Drosophila melanogaster: one gene and its partners. The protein of the gene in region 1 interacts with the protein of each later gene in a pairwise test. Each region holds a gene or a part of one and is shown in the gene's direction. Other genes may lie near its edges.

Region 1 (5,767 bases):
TAATTCCAGCAACGATAAACTTGTAAAGAGCGGCGTGCAAACTTCGCCAGATGGTGAGTGCTGGAACACTTCTCACAACATGTGAGAGAGCTATTTTTGACCTTTTGATCATTTGGAGCTTTGAATTGAACACTCTATGGATGATTGATACCATTTAATCAATGGATTTCTTGGTTTCTATTATTATTTGTTTCATATTATAATTCGGTGATTTCGGTGTACATCACAAAAGCCCAACAGCTATACTATCCTTGACCCATTTTATCCAGAAATAATAGTACCATGAAATATTTTATTTATTTAAAAATGTAACAAATTTACCTTTCGTTCGTTTTGCATAAATAGGGAAGGTCACAAACATACCAGCGACCATGGTGAACAACCAGTTCGGCATGGTTGGCCTGCTGACGTTCATTCGGGCTGCAGAAACGGATCCCAATCTGGTGACGCTCTCCTTGGGTACGGATCTCACGGGTTTAGGCCTGAACCTGAACTCGCAGGAGAGCTTGCATACAACCTTCGCTGGCCCCTTCGTAGCACAGCCCTGCAGGTCAGTTTACATAATAAACTTACATAATTTAATTGCTTATTGAGTACTATTGAGTAAGAGGTGTACCAAATTAGTAACATTGGATTTGCATTTACTTTTTTCAGAGCACAAGACGTTGAGTTCAACGTGCCACCCGAATATCTGATTAACTTTGCGATAAGAGACAAACTAACAGCGCCGGTACTGAAAAAGCTGCAAGAAGACCTGCTCTTTTTCCTTTTTTACACGAACATCGGCGATATGATGCAATTGATGGCAGCTGCTGAATTGTGAGTACTTCCTCTTGCGTAGCTATTATCTAAGCTTCGTATGAACATATATAGAACATACATATATACTAAAATTCTGCTCCCATCGCAGGCATAGTCGCGAGTGGCGATACCACGTGGAGGAGAAAATATGGATAACTCGAATTCCTGGCATTGATCAATATGAAAAAAATGGTACAAAAGAGCGCGGCACCTTCTACTACTTTGATGCGCAAAGTTGGAAACGTTTGTCCAAGGTTTTCCAAATAGATCCCGAGAAATTAGATAAATGTCCCAATATAAGTGCGTTTATGAATGGACAGTCTGTATAAAATTAATAAAAATGAAAAAAATTGAAAAAGAAAGTATGCTGTTGTTTTTGCATTGCAACAAGGACACTCAACACTAACTGAATAATAAGTTTTATTATAAAAATTAAAAACAATCCATTTGAGTTTTTCTTCTAAAACGGTGTTAGGATATATATACATACATATATGCATATGTATGTATGTGCAAATTCTGGTACAAATTGCCGGTTAACAATTTAAAGCGATTTATTTTTATCCTGCTGGAGTCTAGTTGGTATTCATATTTTTAGAATATCTTTGAAATGTAACATTTTTTAGCTGTTCGATATTATGAAATGAGCGGACTCCCATTAAATTAAAAAGCAAGTTATATTTTTTCGATTCGTTGAAATGTATTTGAAAGGTAGAAGAAATTCTTTCTATAAAGTGATCCTATAAAAAATTACTGGCCGTGTCTGAAAATACATACCTGTCATCTGGACTAACACGACATACATATGTATGTATATTCCAATAGCAAATCTACTGCATTCTGCAATGCACAACAGCTCCCCCTATCAATGATACGACGGAACCATAGTTGGCATGATAATACATACATACAATATCATCTTCAAGCTTGTGTATGCCTGGCAGGTCTATTGTCGGGGCCACAATCTTTTCGACATATCGGCAACTTTTTGGGAAAATATTTATTTTTAAATTTAACAATTACAGTTTATGTACAAGTATAGAATAAAAACCTAATTCCCTTCTAGACTGTATGTAGTGTGAACGCAATGTTTTCGCTACAGAAGCGCTTACTGCACTTAACAGCACGCGTTACTATGTTAATGTCAAAGTGTCAACAGAAGCAAGAGGAAGAAAATTAGAGTTGCCTACGAAAATAGCGCCTGCGCCTCGGAATTTATTTGAATTTGATGCTTGTGGCGTCCCCTTAGCCGAATATGAACACGCCAGGTATAAGCCTCTTTCAGGGGGCGGATGCCCTTAACATAAATTCTACACTGGACCGGCAGGAGGAGGAAGAGGCGCTGCAGGATCAGAAACGACGCGAGGAAGAGGTAAGCGATCTGGGAATTCCTGGTAAACAATGTCACCGATTCCAATTCTACGCAAGCTTGGACGGATTATGGTGAATGCCTTCGACGATCTGCTCGATGAAGAGAACACAATCGACTCGACGACGAATTACCAGTCGGAACTGGAACAGCCGCCAGTTCTACCCAACTACCCATCACATCCGCACCATAAACCGCTGCAGGACGATGCTCAGCGAGCCAACGAGATCGAGATGCATCGCCTCCAGATCCTGCTGGAGTCTAAGAATAATGAGCTGCAGAATGTCAACCAGGTGGCCAACGCTGCGCACAAAAAACTGGATGACTTACAAAAGCACCTATCCATCATGCAGGCTGAGCTAGACCGCGCCATTCGCGAGAAGCAGAACACTCACGAGCTGTTGGTGGAGACCAAAGAGACGTGCTCCAATAAGGACAGCGATCTGGACAAGCTGCGGTCGGAAAAGAAGCAGTTGGAAGAAGATAACACGCGATTAGTTGGTCAATTAGAGGCCGCCAAGACCTTGCTTACGGACGTCCAAAGCAAATACGACATGGTGCAGGCCAGTAAGCAGAAGTGGGAGGAGCGGAACGCCGACCTACGTTTAAAGCAAATGGAGGAAGCGCACCGAGCCCAGTCCGATCTTTTGCAGCAGCAACTCTGTCAGATGAAGGATCAGCTTGATCGCAAGCAAAATGAGTTGGATCAGATAAACTCGCGCTACAATGCTCTGCAGTCTGGTCACGAAACAATGCTCGTAGATAAGGCTGCCAAGATTAACGAGCTCAGTCAAGCTTTGGATGAGGCCCAAATGCGCTGCAACCAACTAAGTGCAAGACCCGATTTGCAGGCTGAAAATCGTCGGCAGCAACAGTGCATCGTTGACTTGAAAGCCCGCATTGCCTATTTGGAGCAAACAGTCGCTTCGCTCCATGAGCGCCTAAACGAAACCACCACGGAACTTGACCTGATAGATTCGGTTATTCAACAGCATCAGGCGGACGAATCGCCTACTAGTCGGCTAAGTCAAATGGGTGGATCGCGCCTTGTTGGTAGCACACCGCTGAATCCTCTAGACAGAGTCGGTCACATTAAGCAGGAGTTGTATCGAGCTCTGGGCAACCTGAAGAACAAGCGGGAAGAAGTGCGACGCCTAGAGAAGCTCCTGGAGGAACGCAACCAGGAACTGCGCGTGCTGCGCGACCAGGAGAACCAATCCCTGGTTCAGCTGGAAACCCTAAACGAAGGCAAAATGCGGTTGGAAAACAAAGTGAAGGCAATGCAGCAGGAGTTGGAAGAGCAAAAACACAGATCACAGCAGGAGTCAGATGTGCACTCACAGCTGAATTCCATTGTGGCCGAGAGGGATGCACTAAGGGAAAAACGGCAGCAGATTGAAGAAGATCTGGAGCAACTAAAGCAGCAGAACGAGAGCCTTCAAAGAAATTACGATCAGCTTTCGCAGGAAAATCGGCAGTTGCGAACTCGAGAAACTGCAGACAACCTGCGCTTGGAGCTGGAACGCCACAAGATTCTGTTGAGGGATTCCCAGAGCGAGGTCGAGCGGCTTAAGAAACTCTATTCTGACATCGCCACAGACAAAGAGTCATTAGGCTATGAATTGAGAAAGCTGAGAGAATCGGACACGCTTAAGGAGTTGCAGGATCAACGCCAAAACTTGGCCACTGTTCAGCGAAACTTGCAGCTGGCGGAGATGAAATCAGAGGAGCTAAAAAAGCTTCTGGAAACGGAGAAACTCAGCCACGAACGTGATCTGCAGGCCTTGCGCCAAAGGAGCGAGCGGGAAAAGCGCGAAGAAGCAGTTGCGGTGGCCAAAGAAAGTTCCGAAAACTGCAGCAAGTGCATTGAAAGCATAGCAGAAATTACCAAGGTAAGCGATAACCTTTCAGACATGCTAGTAAACTAAATAATCTTATATATCACCACGGTTTTTAGGCGGAAATTCAGTTGTTGAAACTCCAGAATGTGAACTCAATGCAGGCCAAGGAACTGAAAGAATTGGAACACGCGCTGGAGCAGTCTAAAAATTTGCAAGCCGAGATGCAGGAAAAGATCGAGCTTTCAAACAAGCAGGACGAGCTCATTAGCGATCTTAAGGAGAGGGCCAAGCAATTCGAGGCGTACATTAGGCAGCAAGAGGAGCATAAGCAGCAGAATAAGTGTACGCCCAGTCCGAAATCAAACTCAGTTTCCCCGTCTGATCCATCGCCCAAAGAGCTCACCCAGAATCGGATAAGGTTGATCGAACAACGTGTTCGTGATGAGATGGCCAAACTTTTTGCAGCAGAACTCAAGAGGTTTACTAACCGGCTGCAAAAATCTGAGGAGAGGAGCCAGTGCCTCCAAAGGGAATACCAAACGGTGTGTGCAGAGCTGCAACAGCGGCAAACGGAGGTGGATCTTCTAAAGCAAACTATCCTGGCAGAACGCGAGAATATCGATGAAATTCTGGCCGGCAGGGAAGAAAAGCAAAAGGAAATGCTGCAGAAGTGCCGCCAGGAGCTGCAAGCGAAGAACCAGCGAATTGCCGAACTGCTCCGAGAAGTGGAGGAGCAGCACGCCAGCATCGACTCCGAAAGGCAATCTATGAAGGCTGTGATGGCTCAGTGGGAGAAACAGCGCCAGTCAGTCGACCAGGTGGAACACCACTGGCGCCAGCAGCTGGAAAGCTTGCGTTCCACCCACGAAGAGGCGATGCGATCCGCACAGCAGCGATATCAAAGTGCCAAGCGTACCGCCCACAATTACAAGTTGTATGCCGAGGACAAGGAGGCGCACATGAAACGCGAGTATGAGCGCATTAAGCACGAGTACGAGCTATCACTCGCCAAGATCGAGGCGACCATGAACCAGCACCTGGAGCGGCGGAGTCGGGAGAAGCACCGCGACAAAGAGAACGTGCCCAGCAATAGCAGCAGCGACCCAATCACCAACTCAAATAGAAAGCCCAAAGGCAATGGTCACAGCTAAGACTTAGGAAAATATATATATGTATATGTAGGTCTCTTTAGTGGGATATCGTTACTGCATGCACTGCCAAATTGTCTAAACAAATAAAAGTCGCTGTACATTCCTAACAAAATTGTGCTTATAAAAATCAGCTAAAAAAGTGAAAGTTTATCATTAATATTAAAAAATAGGTTTTTTATTTGATTGTTGTTTCTAGTAGGCTCATAATTTTTTCATTTTTAGTTTGAAAAATCTGGTTCCAGCACTTGTTGAAAATGTCGAAGAATTTGTCAATCTCCTCTCGGGTTATTCCAATTCCTGCCGCTACAGTCAGGTACGGAACTTGCAGGTTGCTGCGGTGGGAGCCGAAATCTAAGCGAAATATTCTAAATTTTAGTCGGAAAACAAAGACGATAGTGAATATTACTTGCCTAGAAACTCATGCCCGTCTATAGTTTTATTTTGGCCAGGAACTATCACTCTTGCTCCGGAAACTCCACGCATGTGTAGCATGGAGCCAAGCTTGGTGATGCTCTTCATCTGATCCCCAGCCAAAGTGGCCAATGTTATGGCCAAGGATATGGAGTTAAACCTGCTGTCTATAACAATCTCTCCGCGTGGCTCTG
Region 2 (5,793 bases), on another chromosome or scaffold:
AGTTCTCGCAGAACTATGCGAAGAACGAGGATTTCAATGCCTGCCAGGGCCACAAGTGGACGCTTCAATCGCTGTGGTCCTGCCTGGAGAATCGTGGCGTGAACACTAAGCGCCTGTGGGCCACGCTACGGAATCTGGTCATCAAGGGCATCGTGAGCGGGGAATCGGGATTGAATCGCATGTACCGCCAGAATGTGAACTTTCGCTACAATTGCTTCGAGTTGTTTGGCTTCGATGTGCTCCTGGATGAGAATCTAGTGCCCTGGCTGTTGGAGATAAATATATCGCCGTCGTTGCATTCGGAATTGCCACTGGATCTGCACGTGAAGGGTCCGCTCATTCAGGCCGTGCTGAATACGGCTCTATATCAGGTGCCGCCTAAGCTGAACGAACGTCAGCAGGCGGACATCCTGGAGGAGCTTAATCTGACCGGTCCGTTGTGCCATGACAAACGCATCTTCACCACCTGCCTGACTGCAGAGGAGGTCCGCAAACATAACCAGTACACCAATCGGAGCATCGAATTCCGGGAGGAGTACGTTGATACCATACTGGACAATCTACTGCCGGACGATGTCCGTTGCCTGATCGTTGCCGAGGACGAGCTGGCCAGGTGTCAGCCGCTGGAACGGATCTTCCCCACCGCCGGCACACATGTATATCTGCGCTATGTCGAGAATGCCCGGTACTATAATCGCCTGCTGGACGCCTGGGAGACGAAGTACGCCAAGAATAGGGAAATGGGCATTGCCTTGCTGTCGCGCTATTGCCGGGACAAATACCATTTACAGGTGTCGGACGCCGCCATGGAAAAGGTGAACGATCAATTCAATTCAATTGAATTTCCCCTTCCGTACCGCTTCTGTAGTCCATTTTCAAGTCATATTTCTTATCTAGGAACCAAATGTTGCACTTACCGAGATCGATATGCTGCACGTGCGAAAGGATGAGGTCTTGGACGGTGCCACCACGCTGGCCATACTTAAGCCCGTTGTCCAGGAGGGCTGCGAGGTGGCGCCGATTCCGGATGCCTGCATCGAGATCAAGTCCTGAAATTGAACCGAACTATCAGCACTATCACCATTGCTTCTTCCATTGCCATTGCCATTTCCATTCCCGTTTCCGTTACCAGCTCACAGCTGTGCCAGCATCCCGTGCAGATGTGCTCCGGAATTGTATCCGCTCAGTAAATTCACTTAACTTCGATCGTCTTTGGTGGCAATAGCCTGTTTTGGCATCCAGCTAGAAATTGGATCACACGTCATTTCAGTAAATATAAAACACTACGGGGTGTTTAAAAAAATTATGAAAATAAATATTTTATTTAAATTTAGTTCTTATTATTTATTCTTTATGCGAACACTGTAAACTGTAAAGAGTATCGGTTTTCTTATTGGGTAATTGCTCAGCACAGTACTAAGCTTTTTGAACTACGCGGGCTTTGGCAGTTGCGATAAGTCTAAGGAAGTGCAATCGATAACTAGCGGCGCAGTCTTGAGTTTTCAAGCTGCCGATAACGACATCACGCCTCCAATTATCGATAGACGTAGTATAATAACAATAAACAAAAATTCACTGTATTGCACGGCGCTAAAATAAAAATTAAGTTTGCAAATCATGGCGTGGACTGAATTATAAACCCGGCTTGAAACCAAAGGACTGCAAGTGGAACAGCTGAGCTGCACACTTGGGAAATTGCCAATCTGAAACTGCGTGGAAAAAAGAGTGGCCCATTGATTTTTCGCTAAGTATCTGCTGATTAAAAAAAAATTGACCGCAGCGTTGGAATTTCGGCCTGCCAATCAGAAAAATGAGTGGTAAGAAGCCAGTTCTATGCAAGAATGGGCACTATATATTAGTAACTAATAATATGATTTGCGGGGATTGGGATTTGCGTGCTGACTGTATGGGAATTTGCAGTCTGCTTTTGGGGAGTTGGGGTTAATGTTCAGCGGGCCGGGGGCTTCGAGGTCCTGGCTAAAAAGGACGCACCTGCGCCCTGACCTCCTCTCCAACTTCTTGAAAAGTGCGGACCCCTCGATGAAGTCATCAATTTTGTAACATGCACACGTATACAGTGAAGCTTGCATTATGTATTTCCTTTTTGGGCTTTTTGTTTTACATAATTCTGATATTGTGTTTAATGCATAATAAGTATGAAGTGGTAAACCTTAGTTTCTACCCACTGTGCTTTGTTAACCCAAACAGGCGACGAAAGTGGCGAGGAGAAGCACGTCCTGAACTTGTCCAAGCAAAAGCTGAAGAAGGTGCCCAAGCAGGACGATGCGCACAGCATACGGCAGCTCATCCTGGACGAGAACGAGCTGCAGAAGATCGACAACATAGACTCGTATCTCAAAATTGAAACGGTGACTTGCAACGTTCTGCGAAAAGAAACAAGTTCCTAATTAACAGAAATTCAAATATTTCAGCTCTCCTTGGCCAGAAATCAATTGCTGCGCATGTATGGCGTCTGCCGGCTGCATTGCCTGCGTGAACTGAATCTGTCCTTCAATGGCATACTCTCTATCGAGGGCCTGAAGGAATGCATCCATCTGCGCGTTCTGAATCTGGAGGGGAATAACATCAAGACCATCGAGCATCTGAACACGAATGTCAATCTGGAGTGCCTGAATCTGGCGGATAATAGCATTGGCAGCATTTCGGATATGTCCTATTTGCGCAATCTCAAGGAGCTATATTTGCACGGAAATCGCTTGACGCATCTGAGGCAGTGCGACAAGTGTTTGCCCACCTCACTGGAAACCCTAACGTTGGCCAAGAATAGCATCAACGATCTCAACGAGATCTGTACGCTGTCGCATCTGAGCAACTTGCTGAGCATTTCCATTGCGGATAATCCCTGTGTGACCATGATCAACAGTTTGGAGTGAGTTAGCTTAATGGATCATATGGATTGCGCTTAAAATGTAACATCTCTTGCAGTGGCTTTGATTACCGACCTTTTGTTTTAAACTGGTGCATGAGCCTCAAGTACATCGATGGCTTTGTGGTCGATCCTATTGAGAGTCTTAAGGCCGAATGGCTGTATAGCCAGGGACGTGGTCGCCAGTTCCGTGTGGGCGAGCAGCAGGGCTTGGCAAAATACCTAAGTTCTGTGTGCCCGCTGGTGGGCAAGGCGCTGGAAAATGAAAACGATAGGAAACTCCGGCTGATCCTCAGCAAGGCGCAACACCATCAGCGGCAGCTGCAGGAAGAGATCATGGATAACGCAAATAGTTCTGCCAGCACTTCGCCCTCATCCCATCGCAAGAAGCCCACGAGTCGCATTCAGTCGCCCAGATGTAAGTTATTAACTCCCTATCTATGCTTTTTCATATAACTTATATTTTTCTGTCTTCGATTTAAAGTCTCCCGCTTGAGTGGCCGCCAGGGATCACCGGAGTCCATGGTGAATAGCTATCACGGGAACAGCAGCAACAATAGCATTGTTAGCGACAATGGATCTACGAATCATTCGCTGCAAATGAGCATTTCGCTCATTGAGAACATTAAAAACGATGGCGAAGGCTTTAGTTTGGCCGGCAGCGGAATGTCCAGCAGCGTGACCACCAAGACATACAATTCCACGGAGTCCACGCCACGGAATATAACACCCAATCCCTACAATGGTATGACAATTAAAATATATTCAATGCAAGAGTGGAAAATGATGTTAATAGTAAACAACAATTCCACAGATCAAACGTTCATCAGTCAAACCCCATCTGGTGGTCCATTGGCGGCTGCCTCGAAAATGGTCCCAGTTCCGGAGACTCTGATGAGCCCGGATGTCTGTCCCGCCGCTGTGGCCCAAAGAGTTACGGTTACGGCACTGAACCCTCAGCTGCACAAGACCAAGATCAACAAAAATAAAGGTAGCCAGTAGTTGTTACTCTAGACTTTTAAAACGACACAGATTTCTAAAACATACATACACATTTACACTACAGACAACAAACTGAACTTGCCAAGAGTGCGAAGTCCACAACTGAAGAGGAACCAAAGCCCTACGAGCAGTCCACGGAGGATGGCCAATAAGTGCAGCGCGGACAACATGCAGGCACCGGAGAAACTCCAGCAATCGGCTGTTTTGGCCGATAGCGGTGGCTTCAGCACCGACGACGACGGCGAGCAAATCAACATAGAGAAACTGAGAGCAATCCGGAAGATGGCCGCTCAGAAGCAACAGCAGATGCATCAGGAGCAGCTGAAGCAGCAGGTGGACAACAACCTGAACTGCCAGGATCGGCTGATCGAGCACGTGACAGAGTCCTCGGCCGTTACCATCCAAAAGATGTGGCGAGGCTATCACACACGCAAGAAGACCAACAAGGACATAGCCGAGCGATTGCAGCGACGACGCACACAGGAGTATATCGAGTAGGTGGTCTCGTTTTAGGCAACATATATCGCAACTTTCTAATGCTCTATCTGTCGCATTCCTCAGACAACTCGGCAAGGATATGCTACTTACGAAGGCCCAGCTCGAGAACGAGCGAAAGATTCAGCAGCTGCAGATGCAGGCCATCAATGCGCTGTGGAAAAAGGTGTCCACCATGGAGGTGGATCCCAAGGGAATACCTGCTGCTGCGGAACAGGGCGAGGACTCCAATGGCGGAGGGTCTGGCCACCTGAGTCTCGATCAAAATTCAGCCGCCGTGGTAAATGATTTGGCGAAAAGATGCACCATGCTCACCGATCAGGTTCAAATGCTGCAAAGCTCGATTGGAACCATCGTCAACTGCCTCACAATGGTGTGCAATCTGCCGCAGGACGCTATTAAGAAGCAGGCCGAGATCATTGATTGCAGCTCCACTCAGACGGACCTCATTGCCGTACACACGCCGCAAATAGAGGACCTCACCAATTTTCCATTCACCAAAACAAGGCCCTCAACCTTGGCCCTAGAATCCAAGCACGAAGCTGCTCTGGCTTGTCCCAAAATCGATGAATTGAATGATGTCGACCTGAAGGAGACCCAAGAAGACTCGGAAAATCTTGATAAAGATCCATGAACAAATCCCAGTTAATAAATGAGGAGTATAAACGCTTTAAGGGTCGATCTCAGCGCTTATTAATTCCTTTCTTAGGCTTTTGTGTAGCTTTTGCAACAATATTAGATCGGTTACGAGAACTTAGAAGTAGCACCAGCATTCACAAACACATTACTTTGTTACATTCCTGAGATGCAGCGATGGTGGAAGACTTAACAATAGTATGAACAAATCGTAAATACAAATTTTTGTAAAGCACAAAAGGTGTTCTTGATTGCGGGCAGATTTTGTTCAAAAACAACACCAGCATTAACCAACAGTTTTTTTTTAATTAAGTTTGACAAATTTGTAAATAACCTAACTATGTGTGTGTTTGTACATCGTTCAGTCCTCTTCGCTGGATGTTTCCTCATCTTCCTCTTCGTCGGAGGAATCGCGATTTACAGGCCGATTTGTATTGGGCAGGAGATCATCCTCGAAATCGGAGTCGTCTTTGTTTTGGCTGGTGGCTTCCTCCTGTACAGGTTTCTTTGTGAATTTATCCGGCCAAATTGCAGCTTTTGTGTATTCCTTTATATGTTCGGGTGTGAGTATTTTGCAAATCTCGGCTTTGACTTTATCGCCCTCCTCAATCGGTTCGACCAGCAGAAAGTCGCCACGTTTCACCCACATGCTCTTGCGGAATTTGTTGGGCATCGAAACTAAAAGGGTCAGAAGGATACAAATTCATTATTAAGTATCAACATGAAATGAGTTGGGATGGGCTATCTCAACATGTCTTTATCGAGACGTTCAG
Region 3 (5,309 bases), 1.5 Mb from region 1:
TGCCCCCGCCAAAGTCGCCTCCGTGCAGATCCTGGCCGTGCACTCAATGTCACGCTTGCGCACACAGGTCCATCGGAATATGTCGCCCTTGTAGGATTTCCCGGCCAGGTAGTACAGATGCCCGTCGATGCAGACCATCACGCGGCCGTCGCGGCGCCGTAGCATGTACACACGATCCTTGTCCTGCGGAATTAGAGTTCGTGTTAGTCATTTTTGTGCTGTAAAATTGTATATGAATTAAAAATGGTACATCATGGGAAATCTATTTAGGTGTAAAATTAAGTTAAGTGTAAGTTCAAAAGTATTTCATTCCCTTGGATATTCCCTTCAGTAGGGTGCATGTTATAAAATGATTGGGTCCCATTTTTTTCAAAAATCCCTAATATTTAGTTTCGTTTGGAGATATATAGTATTTTTTGAATCATAAATGATTAAGCTTTGGTATTTATTGTCCTTTTAACGGCCTAGCCGGTGGATTTGCAAATAGGAAAATAAATATAAAAAACAAATTGGCGGGAAACCATCTCATTACTAAGGTGAGCAAATTAACCTTTTTTTTACATTATCAAATGTTCAAAGTAGCGGTGGTTACCGAAATATGAATCAATATTAATATCAATGTTCTTTCTGAAAAAGAGACCCAGCTAGATTCTAAATAAATGGTTGAGTTGAGTATTCAGGGGCATGAGCCAGGTACAGTTGGCCTGGGGCCGTACCTCAAAGTCCAACTGGAACGAGGCCTCCACGGTGGAGGTGTCGATGCTTCCGTAGATGAACTCCGGCGGATTCATGCCGGCGTTGGCGCGCTCGTACAGGCGTGCTCTCTTCGGCTGGGTGGTGCTGTAAGCGTCGTTCATCATCATTACGGAGAGCCGCTTGCGCTGGGCCACCTTGTTGACCTCGTGATCGCTGCAGCGCGGGTGGATGTGGGCCAGAACGACGTCCACGACGACGTGGCGCGTCTTGTCCAGCGGATCGGGCAGCATGGTGCAGATGCGGGACTTGCAGGGAGTGGACTTGTCCTTGCGCCTGTTGCACAGCCATCGGTAGGTGTTATTCCGCCCGATGCGATCGAAGTGGTACAGATAGTCGTCCACGCAGAGCATATCCACGCCCTTGGCGGAGCGCACCACGGACACCTTGGTCAGGTCCATGCCGTGCTCCTCGACGGGCGTCTCCATTTTTGAATTGGTGCGCTGTTTGGCCCGAGCCCGGAATTCAGCGTTTTTCGATTTGCCCTCGAAAAGTGTTTTGTATCGTAAATTAGGCGATTTTTTTAGTGGCTGGCTGCCTGGGATTTGTTGGTTGGGATTTTTGGTGGTATTTCGTCAGCTCACTATTTGCGCGCCTTTTTGCAAACGCCGGCCATTTACCCAAACGCACTGATTTATTGCAGTTTGATGCACTAAAAGGGTTTATATTTGGTTTTTATCACTCGATTTTAATTGCACAAGCACATTTTCTTTTGCGACGCGTCGAAAAATGCTTTTGTGTGGGATACGAGGGCTGCGAGCTATGCGGTGGCGTTGCCACTTATCAAAATCGGTTATTTTTGTGACGTTCAAAAATTGTAAATATTGATGTTTATTATTCACTTACAGTTTGGTGAGATTTTTCCCGTTGGATTCCCAGGACGAGGAGAGCGTGGGCGATCTTCTGCTACAAATTGACAGTATCTTGCAGTACGGCGAGGATGCAGACGTGAACGTTAAGGACTTTGATGAACCGGAGGAAGGGGATCAGGATTGAAAAAAATCAATTTTTCATATTGCTTAAGAAAATGTACAATATTTTATTTTTAATAAAAAATTAAATCTAATCAAAATGCATGTCTAGCACCATCCCTGACCGCAGAGTTGCCACTGGTACAGTGTTGGACAACTGCTGCCGTAATTTTAAATTCCCCTACGCGTACGGCGTCTAAACAAAACTGCGATTCTAAGAACGAATATAAAAGCATGCAGGAGGCTGGCGAAAGTCCTGTTGGAATGCCTCTGAGCCAGGAGGCCATCGCACAGCGTCTCGCGGCGCTTAGTCGTTGGCAGGACGAGCAGAAGCGGCTGCTGCAGGAGCGGCAGTCCAATCACCGCGTTTTGCTCGGCTTGGAGCAACGTAATATGTACAAAATGCTGGGACTGCTACACCAGGAAACGGAAAGCCATGAAAACAGTGTGCTGGAGGAGTGGGACGAGGAGCACTCTATACAAATGCCGCGACTCGCGGCGGATCCGGACGAGCACGAGCCAGAGATTTCAATGGCTGATCCCCAGCCGGCCAAGCCTAAACGCCCTTTTCTGCGTCGCGGCGAAGGTCTAAAGCAGCGGTTCAAGATCAATCCCGACCAGCTGCGCCTGGAAAACCTGCCGCGATACAAGTTCGCTAATGCCCACCCTCAGTTCCGCACGCCTCAAATGAAAAAGGGTATTCTCAAGAAGCAAGTCAAGTCACCTCCCAATCCTGCGCCTCCACCAGCTCCCAAACCCTCAGCACAGCTCGACGATCTCAACGAGCAGCGCTTTCAGCAGATGCTTATCGGCAAGAACGCCTGCAGTTCCACTCCAGATCTAAAGTCTTCCTATGCGTCCTCCACAACCGCCTCGAGCACCTCGCCCAGAGTTCGTTTTGTAGAGCAGAAGAGCAGGGCGGGACAAACCACTCATGCCGATGATGAAGCCTCCTCGGAAGCTAGTCCCATGACAGGAGTTTGCTGGGCCAAGGTGCTGGACACACAGAGTATAAAGCCAGCGCAAATCCAAAGACGCTCTGCTCAAATCCGAGTGGAAGATGACAGCAATGTAAGCATATTCGAGCTGCTCGAGCAGAAGGCCACTGAGGGAAACATTGATATGAACTCCAGCTGCATTCGAACCTTTATGGCGCGCAAAGATCAGCGTCGCCGAGTAGCTGATGACTCCGATCACATTGTAGTCACACAGCAGGTGCGTCAGATGCGATTGCAGCCACAGGTGGACCAGATGCTGGTGCAGGAACTGCAGGAGGGGGACGAGGAGGACACCGAACCGTCCAGCGATCAGACCCTCACAATGACACCCATCCAGGTGGGGAATACTAAAGTGCGAGTGCGTTTCTCCGACTCCAATGACACGCACGAGTACTCCGATGCCACCAGCCTCAACGACGGCTCCAATATTCAGCTCTTTGAACAGTTCAAGTCCGCCCTCTTCCAGGCATTGGAACAGAAGAAGAAGTCAAGTCCCAGCAAGGAGTCAGACGAACCCATAACCAAAGATCTTCAGGAGAAAGCCAATCTCGTTCGCACTCGCCTCGAAGAGCTGGAGACAGAGATAGCCACCTTCAAGGAGCAGAATGCCCAACTCCTTCGCCTGAGGCAGCAACACGAATTGGAGAAGGCAAAGTGCACACAGGATCACATGGAGGCCATGGAACGCGTCCATGACGAAAAGATTCAAGCTGAAATTTATCTGCACGACGAGCGCATGAAGATTGAGGAGGAACGACGCAAGTTCGAGCAGCAAATGCGACTTCAAAAGAGCAATGCAAACAGCAAGGAAAAAAAGGAGATAGCCGCCTTGAAACAGGAAGTGGAGGGACTGCAACTCCAGCTCAAACAAAAGGAGCAGGCGCATGTCTCGGCACAGGCACGACTCCGCGCTCAACTGCGGGCCAGTGAGAAGGAGCAGCGAAACTACCGTGACGAGATCGAGCTGCTGCGCAAGGAGAACAAGCGCCTAGAGCAAGAGCTGGTCAAGATTGGCCGCGAAAACAACAGCAAGATGCTGCAGGAGATCAATCGAAACATAGCCCGGCTTGCCCCCAAAGTGGTAAGTGCATGCTTGTGTGTATATCGTAATGTAACTAATGTCTTCATTTAGTTACCTTCCGCGACAATGTCCGATATCCTCGATGAGAACGGTCGGCGCACCCAATCTCTGGACGGCACTGCTGGTAAGCCTGCCAAGCAGCGAGAGGCGCAAAACCGTCGTCAGAGTAGCGGCAGTGCCCAAGTGAGAAGTCGGAGTCGCTCACTGAGCAGGAATAAGAAAACACCATACGCTCTGGATGAGAGCTACGCCTCTAGTAGTTCTGTGGAATCGGAGGAAGTTCAGCCGCCCGTGACCGCTCCGAAAGCTGCTACCCCCCCACCGGCTGCCAACTCCAGCAGTGACTTTAAGCGGGAGATTACGAATGCGGATGGGAGCAAGGACATTTGGTACCCAAACGGCAATCTAAAAAAGATAAGCGCCGATGGCATGAACTTGCGCATGCTCTATTTCAACAAGGATATCAAGGAAACTAACATCAGGGAAGGCACAGTGAAGTATTACTACGCTGAGACCAACACTTGGCACACCTCCTACCTAGATGGCTTGGAAATACTCGAGTTTCCCAACGGGCAGACGGAACATCGCCGCAAGGATGGCACTGTTGAGATTCACTTTCCCAACAACAGCATTAAGATTGTGGATCCCAGCGATACGGAGAAACTGGAGGAGTGGCGTTATGCGGATGGAACCCATCTAGTGCAGCTCCGGAATGGTGACAAGATTCTCAATCTGCCCAATGGCCAAAAGGAGATTCACACCAAACTAAACAAGCGAAGGGAGTATCCGGACGGCACTGTGAAGCTAGTGTATCCGGATGGCAGCCAAGAGACGCGCTACTCCAACGGCCGCGTTCGTTTGAAGGACAAGGATGGCAAGCTCATAATGGACACAGACTATGCCAAGTATTAGAGTCGGGTCTCTGCTTCCGTTGTTAAGTAAATTAACTTAAGTTTTAGATAAATAGAAAAGACGTGCTATTTTTAAAAGATCATCGTAATATTCTTTTCTTGCTGATAAATGGGAAATTGGCTCTATTTTAGATTATTATATATATTGTTTGGTTTTCAATTTGTTAGATCAAATGTAGTAAATTATTCATAGAATGGTATTCTACTCCGCGTTTACTCCTTCTTGGGCCATGGAGAGGTGATGGCCGAAGACCTTGGGATGCTGATTGAGCAGCTTGGAGGCGAATTGCACCATTTGCTCGAATGTGAACTCCGCCTTGGCACGTGGTCCCCAAAGGAAGAAAGTCTTGGAATCATCGTAAGCACTTAGCTGTGAGCGTTCCCGCTTCAGATATTGTTGCTTCACAAACGTCTCCTCGATCTGTTTGCGCAGATTGGGGCCGAAGTAGCCATGTTCTTCGTCTGGATAGATGTTGAGCATCTCCAGCATAACGTACAGTTTCGAGTCCTCGATGCGGTTGCCGCGCAGGAAGATGTACATGAGAATAATATACAGCAGCGTGAACTGCGGCCGTTGAGCCGGCGTCAGCTCGTG
Region 4 (7,199 bases), on another chromosome or scaffold:
TGTGCGCATGGGCAGAGTAACTGTTTTCGGTTTGCTCTCTTTGCTTTCGTCCTTCCCCTCTTTTATACCATCACTATGATTGCTCTTTGTTGAAAATCCGCGACTACTGCGTAGAAAATAAAATAACAATATTTATATGTAACTGTTGCATGAGCATTATTTCGGATACATGGCAATTTACCAAAATGTTTTTGTCATGTTTTTCTGGCTTTTGAGGCCCTGTCTCACTCACACAAGCGCACTTGTTTTCACAAACGTATACCGATTAAGAACAAAAAAAAACTCCGTAGTTCAGCATGGAAAAGGTGTCATTGGAACTGCGACTTTTCCACCAGTGATTAACCATTTAATTCGAAATACTTATTTCATCAACTTATTCCCTTGTTTTTCATAATTTATTGTCGCCGCCGTTGCTGTTGTTGTTGCTGTTTGCTGCTTGGCTTACCGGCTGTGTGCGAGTGAGACAGCAATGCAGCGTGGGAGAGGACGAAAGCAAGCATGTGGAAGAGAAACAGAGAGCGAAGCGCGTGGAAAAGTTGTAATAATAATAATAAGAACGGAGCCAAACACTAACGCCCAACTGAGCAGCAACAACAGCAACTACAGCCATACAAAACGTAAAAAACACCAAGTTGTTTGGCCTTCGATGTCTTTTTCAATTGCGTCGCAGAATGAAACACAAAAAAAAAAACAATACAGAAACACCACACTCAGCGTGTGTATGCATATGTACACATATATGTGCGAAACTTTGCGCTTTTTGTTTTTGTTTTCCTTACACTTTTACCGTATTTTTATAAAGGAAAGGGGCTAGGAATAAAGTTAGGGGTAAAAATTACTTGTATTCTACTTAAAAAACAAAGCTGATACTGTTGAAAAAAAATTGCACTCCCATCTCACGCACACACACACGACTGCATCTACAATGCAACTTTAAAGAGAGAAATCTGGAGCAATATAAACCGCAAATAGTTCATATTTGAAGTACAAACTCAGTTTTGCGGACGTTCTTTGCAAAAACGGTTTTAGATCGTTTTGTAACTAGATAACACACACACATAACATATGCAAACAGAAGTTACGAACACAACATATCGACAAGCTGTAATAGAACTCGCATACTTTTCGCTATAGCTGGTGACTTTCGAAAATATTATGTTGACTCCCGAATTCCAGGCAAATTCGATCGCGCCAGAGCAACAATCAGCGCAAAAAAACACATCCAGTGAATGTGACCGCGCGCACGGCGAAGGAAAATACCATCCGGCGCAAATCAAATACCAAAATGTACCACACCAGTTTCGATAACCACCTAGTAAACTGTTGAATTCGGCCAGCTGTTTCAAATTAGTTTGTTAAGAACCAATAAAAGTTAAGTTTTCGCAGACAATGTTTCTTTAATTTTGACAAGATTTTGAAGCATACGAAATATACAATATAAGTTCCTGAACACTAATTTAATCCACCGTTTTCTTTACTATAATTCTGGAAGGACTGAAAACTTGTTCCTCTGCTAATCTGTGGAGTCCTCAAATTTTCTCTAAAAACGCTACTTCCAAAAGTCCGGTTATCGATATCTGACGTCAGGGCTGCATGGACTTCGTGTGAGTTTTGAATTGCCGTTTGAAAATAAATGTTTTCCCCAGCATTAAAGCAGCATTTCTCATTGGCTCTTGATGGTAGCTGCGATCCACGGTAGAAACATTGAATACAAAACTCTCAACGATTCGGGATATCATTTGATTGATGTAATGAACTCTTCAGAGGTTTCCTAATTTTTGGCGGGAAGTCGAGGGCTCCCTAGTGCCATCGTCATCTCTAATGGCAACTAAAACATAGCAGACATTTAATGAACTTTCACAAAACACCTAGATTCAGCTGACCTCTGAGAAGGCTTCCTGACATTTCGACGTCCCAACAAAAATTCCCAGTAGCAAAACACCAATGGATGCGACGTGGTGAGTGGGTCTTGGGATTTTATGAATCCCGGTTGCTTACGGGCTTCTAATTACTGATTTTGCTCAATCTAATGCTTCTCCAATTAAGCAGGGCAATGGAGCAGCTGCTGTCTGCAGTTGAGATGGGAGGTAGCCACAGCGAGGCCACCACACCAACGGCCACGACCACCATATCGATCTGGAGCGCCCCCTCCGAGGGCAGTGGCTCTAGTTCCATGGACCCTGTCTCCTTTCGGTTCCACTTGGACGGGCAGCCTATACTGCCACCGCTGGTGATTTAAATTCTTGGTCAGGGAGTGGCATTTACTGAGGCGTAACCATTTTACTTTGTTCCAGATGACGAGCGCCAAGAAGCGCGAGGTGCAGCTGGCCCGCCAGATGGCAGAAGCGCTGGAGAAGCGGTACCGCCTGGCCAGACACTCGGCGGGATCCGACATGGCCAGTAGGAGAAGTGTGTCACAGCTGCAGCAGACAGAAACGTTAATCTATGACAGCACACGGGGCCAGGCTCGTCCTCAGACTCTGGTCTTTGGCAAACAGTTGCCCACCATACAGGTGGATCCTCCCACGCCTCAACCATTTGTGAAATCAATAGAAAACACTTCCCCAAGGCGGCATAATCGCATTACCGATCGTATCCTGCAGTTCGAGCAGTCGGGACTGGGTAAGCTGCTGCCCAAAGTTCCAGATAAGTGTATCCTGCGCACAAGTCCTGCGGTAGCCGAAGACCAGCAGGATCAGGATACAAAGGACACAACGGCAAGGGAGCTCGGCAGTCCACTGGCAGAACCAGCTAATTTTCAGCGTTCGAGAAGTTTCACACTAGAGGAGCCCTCCCAGGTTCTCGTGGAGCACATGGAGAGGGAGGCCCTGGCTGTGAAACCCAGCCAGAGTTTGGCCAACTTCGAGAAGCAGACCATCGAGTCTCAGGCCAAGCGGGTGAACCGTAGTGCAAGGAGTATTAGCAGCAAAATTAGCCACAACAGCTACAATAGCAACAGTAGCGCCGCAACCAAGAGCACCATCGCCACTAAAACCACAACCGCCGGCAGCAGCTGTTCTAGGCGGGATCGCGAGGTGGAGCGTATAATAGAACGGGCGCTGGACGAGCATGGCGCTTTGGAAGCCAGCCGCAAGGCAGGAGTGCGCAACTATCTGCGTGGCCATCGGGAGCGAATGAATCAATTGGTCATTCACCAGGAGAAGGAACGTCGTCGCATGCAGGCCGAGTTTGATCATCAGCAGCGTCAGCTCATAGAGGAACTGTGTGCCGAAATTGATGTTTCCTCGGCCACCGAAAATCCTGACAGTCTGATATCGCAAAGCACCAGTACGGGAGACCTGCAGCGTTTTTCCCCCTCGCCTACGTTACCCTCCTTTTCAGAGGACATAGAAGACTTTCCGACGATGGAAGACAAGTGCCAAATTGCGGGGCCTTCTTCCGCTCGCAAGAGGCTGTTTAGTCCAAAACCATCAAAGGACTCGGAACCGCAGCTGCTCAGTGCCCCCAGCACACCGCGATCGTTGCCCCTCCGGAACAGCAGCTTAACCAATAGCAGACGAAGTGTCCAAGTTGTCCGGCGCCGATCGCAATCTGTGGGCGGTAGTCTAGTAAAAACAATCACCGCAGCAGACCGCGAGGTGAAGAAATCGCCAGCGAAGCCTGGAGGTGGAGCAGGACGACCGAAAAGTTCCCCGGGAAAAAATAGCTCCATTATAGCGAAAAGGGGAAGCGCCCCACCAAAAAGCGCCTCACCGACCAAGCGGCTGGGCAATGTAAGTTTTTCAAGCGAATCTGAGCGATATTTTATTTGCTTTAAGTCACAAAGGTTTTCATTTGTGCCAACCTAAGTTAGCAGCTAATTTGGTTGGACTCTTACTTTAAATCTCTGCTATTTGACCTTTCCTTTTATTTAACTAAAGCATTAACGATTTTTTATTTATGGTCCTCTATTTTTATACCCGTTACTCTTAGAGTAAAAGGGTATACTAGATTCGTTGAATAGTATGCTACAGGCAGAATGAATCGTTTCCGACCATATAAAGTATATATATTCTTGATCAGGATCTATAGCCGAGTCGGTCCGGCCATATCCGTCTGTTCGTATGAACGTCAAAATCTCAGGAACTATAAAAGCTTGAATATATGTTGGATATTTTTCACAATTTTATTAGACATGTACATTTCTATTGACATTTTTAATTAATTTTTAAATTTTTTCTCATTTTATTCCCAATTTTGTATCGATATCCCAGAAAAATTATGATGAAATTTCTAGTTTGCATATCCACTAGCTGAGTAACGGGTATCTGATAGCATTCTTTTTTGCTTTATATTGATATTGATATTGATATTCTTAGCATAATCACTTAATATAATAATTAGGTATTTTATCCCTAAAAAAGTGAAAACCTTGGCGATATAATCTGTAATATCTATTTCCTGTACTCCCATTCTATTATTTCCTCTTCCCCAACACAAACAGCGCAAGAAGCCCTAGCAATTCGGGTAGTCAGTTATGCAAGTGCCTTAACAAAGACTGCGAGGAAATCGAGGGACCAAGCCTCTAGCACCAGTAGCTAACCTAATTACTAACCCAACTAGCAAGTGCCTTCGTTCCCTGTTTAATTTCGCCTCTAATCCCTGCCAGAAATATGTCGAGCTGAAACAGGAAGAGCGCCAGTGGGCGGCCACACGTATTAATGCCGGTGTGCGAGGATTTTTGGTCCGCCGGCTTTTTGCAACCGAGCAAGTGCAGCGCATTGTCCAAACCATCAGAGACACCCTGATCTTCGTGTTGAACCTGCACCTGGAAACTTGTGGACATGGCCTGGATGCAGAGGAGCCTGCAAACTTGCGCCTCAAGGCGCGATTGCTTCAACAGGTGGGTTACTTGGTTACTTGTCTAGGTGTAAAAGGTGCCAAATGTGTACATTAGGCTTGGATGATAAAACTAGAAATTAATTATTATCTGAGTGAAGGGTATGCGATAGTCAAAAAACTCGACTGCAGTGTTACCTACTGTGCTTACATTGACTTTGGTTTAACTTTGAGTAAGCAAAACCAAAACTACTGGTATTTTAGAATAATTAATGCGATTTTATATAAATATTTGATTTGAAATTGCCTTGTTTGCAAACTTAATACAAGCTGACTACTTTTTCCTTTATATTCATTGAATTAACTCATAGCTCTGCTCCGCCAGTCGTACCCTGCACCTGATCTTCTTCCAGACCAACATAAAGGACCGCATGGAGATCATCGCTCGGGATCGCCAGAGGATCAAGACCAAACTACTCCTCAAACATCGCCGATTGGATTAGGATTTCATAGGTTAGATTGCTCGAATAAAGGAGGAAACGATAAACGAAGCATTCTTGTTTTAACTAAACACATTTTTATTAAGTTTAAGTTTTCTGGTTCCACTTTCTCTCTATACATTTTTACATTTTTGTACCCTTTTTGTACTCTACGAGTAAATGGGTATACTATATTCGTTGAAAAGTATGTAACAGATAGAAGAAAGCGTTTCCCATTATAAAAAGTATATATATTCTTGATCAGGATCGCTAGACGAGTCGATCTGGCCACGTCCGTCTGTCATTACGTCCGTATGAACGTCAGGATCTCAGAAACTATACAGGCTAGAATGTTCAGATTTATCATGCAGCTTCCAGAGACATAGACGCGATTTGCCAAAAAACTCTGCCACGCCCACTCTAACGCCTAAAAACAGCCAAAAGCTGTCAAGCCCACACTTTTGAAAAATGTTTTGTTTTTTCTACGTTTTTTTGCTTGTTTTGCCCATTTCTATCGATATATAATAAAAAAAAACTCCCAAAACGGCGTTTGGCCCACAGCGCCCACAACTCGAACCATTTACATATATATTTTTTCTCATTTTATTTCCCAACTTTGCGTTGGCATATTCATTAGCTGAGTAACGGGTATCTGATAGCCGACTATAGCAATCTCTCTTGTTATTATTTAATTTGTATTATGGAATATATATATTTGAGCTGAAATGGAAGAAAATATGTATATGTTAATACTTAAATATTAAGTATATTTTTAAATATTAAATATTAAAAAAATATTAAAATAATATAAAATTTAATGGGTAGATTCGGTAGTATCCTTAACTACATACACAAATTAATTCTTACGATTAATAAGCAATTCTAACAAACAAATATACATACTAGTCGCAATATTGAACTGAAATACATTTATATACTTATTTTTGGTTATATCTCTCTATTATCTTTTTAATACCTTTTAATACCTTTTCTTTCTTGATTTACAGAACAGCTGTTTGGCAAAAGCCCGCGTGATTTTTTGCAGCCAAGCTTTCAAGACATTGCGGAGCTTTCTAGACAAATTCGCCCTGAAAGCTGCGGCGGATTGCCAAAACAAACGGAACTTTTAAAGCGAGTAGTCGTGTGTGCGTGTGATGGCCTTAAAAGAAAACAGCAAAGGCAGACAAATAATCAAAAGCGAGAGAAAACTAGTTTAATAACAATTAATTATTAGTGAGCACGTAACCCACAGCAATTGGCCGACCTCCCGCTCATCCTGTTATTCACCCAGCTGCCCGCGTGCCTTGCCCACCCAATTCCATAATTCCGCCGGCGGCGAATTTAGAACGACACACCAAATTGAAAAAATAATAATACAAATAATAAAACCACACCAATAACAGATTTCGTAACTCGTAAATCGAAGGACAGTGAGAGAAAAAATCGTTAACAAAAATATAAGCGCACACTTATATTTTTAACACGCGGCAAAGTTGCGTGCGTGGGGGTGAGAGTGAAAAATGTAAAAACAGAATACGAAAAACGTTTCCCAGTGTTGTTGTTTGCTCCTTGTTTTGTTTGGATAACTCGCACTAACACCAACACAAAGGATTACCATGTCCTACACCGAGTTGGAATCAGGGTACCAGGATATATCCCAGCAGCATCAGCAGCAAAATCCGCATCAAAGTCAGCCGCAGCAGCGGGTCGGTTTCTACTTGGGATTACAGGATGGCAACGTATGCGCTCCACCGTTTTACCACTAAAATCTAGCGTAACCCACTAAAACACATAATTTTTTTTATTTGCATACTATATGTGCTATACATGCACGTATTTATTTTTAAAACAAGTCAAATCGATTTTTATTTAATTTTAAATAGTGTTTTATAAGAATGTGAAATATAAAATTATGAGCATTGAAAAAGTATTTAAACCTGG

Evidence for each region.
Region 2: the proteins of asl (region 1) and Cep97 interact in a two-hybrid assay, tested with the Drosophila melanogaster proteins (2 studies listed by BioGRID).
Region 3: the proteins of asl (region 1) and Sas-4 interact in a two-hybrid assay, tested with the Drosophila melanogaster proteins (3 studies listed by BioGRID).
Region 4: the proteins of asl (region 1) and Cp110 interact in a two-hybrid assay, tested with the Drosophila melanogaster proteins (2 studies listed by BioGRID).

What each region holds. Positions count from the first base shown.
Region 1 is NT_033777.3:5,602,736-5,608,502, reverse strand, and holds asl (asterless), read left to right. Parts: upstream 1-1,959; 5' UTR 1,960-2,056; coding exon 2,057-2,173; intron 2,174-2,229; coding exon 2,230-4,062; intron 4,063-4,127; coding exon 4,128-5,162; 3' UTR 5,163-5,267; downstream 5,268-5,767. Other genes in the region: Rga (regena), read left to right, coding at 1-53, 346-550, 655-819, 911-1,130; SecS (Sec synthetase), read right to left, coding at 5,338-5,513, 5,573-5,767.
Region 2 is NT_033779.5:3,866,172-3,871,964, forward strand, and holds Cep97 (centrosomal protein 97kDa), read left to right. Parts: upstream 1-1,525; 5' UTR 1,526-1,810; coding exon 1,811-1,817; intron 1,818-2,208; coding exon 2,209-2,369; intron 2,370-2,432; coding exon 2,433-2,890; intron 2,891-2,946; coding exon 2,947-3,305; intron 3,306-3,371; coding exon 3,372-3,632; intron 3,633-3,701; coding exon 3,702-3,878; intron 3,879-3,918; exon of another isoform or gene 3,919-3,953; coding exon 3,954-4,383; intron 4,384-4,450; coding exon 4,451-5,018; 3' UTR 5,019-5,254; downstream 5,255-5,793. Other genes in the region: TTLL4B (tubulin tyrosine ligase-like 4B), read left to right, coding at 1-815, 898-1,053; CG31957 (uncharacterized protein), read right to left, coding at 5,382-5,698.
Region 3 is NT_033777.3:7,149,450-7,154,758, forward strand, and holds Sas-4 (spindle assembly abnormal 4), read left to right. Parts: upstream 1-1,917; 5' UTR 1,918-1,958; coding exon 1,959-3,803; intron 3,804-3,854; coding exon 3,855-4,715; 3' UTR 4,716-4,770; downstream 4,771-5,309. Other genes in the region: CG2656 (uncharacterized protein), read left to right, coding at 1,602-1,749; gfzf (GST-containing FLYWCH zinc-finger protein), read right to left, coding at 1-183, 717-1,181; MAGE, read right to left, coding at 4,917-5,309.
Region 4 is NC_004354.4:22,480,793-22,487,991, forward strand, and holds Cp110 (centriolar coiled coil protein 110kDa), read left to right. Parts: upstream 1-1,602; 5' UTR 1,603-1,748; exon of another isoform or gene 1,749-1,872; 5' UTR 1,873-1,944; coding exon 1,945-1,958; intron 1,959-2,046; coding exon of another isoform or gene 2,047-2,049; coding exon 2,050-2,230; intron 2,231-2,294; coding exon 2,295-3,734; intron 3,735-4,444; coding exon of another isoform or gene 4,445-4,459; exon of another isoform or gene 4,460-4,609; coding exon 4,610-4,843; exon of another isoform or gene 4,844-4,954; intron 4,955-5,150; coding exon 5,151-5,282; 3' UTR 5,283-5,292; exon of another isoform or gene 5,293-5,328; intron 5,329-6,265; 3' UTR 6,266-6,666; downstream 6,667-7,199. Other genes in the region: l(1)G0196 (lethal (1) G0196), read left to right, coding at 6,875-6,997.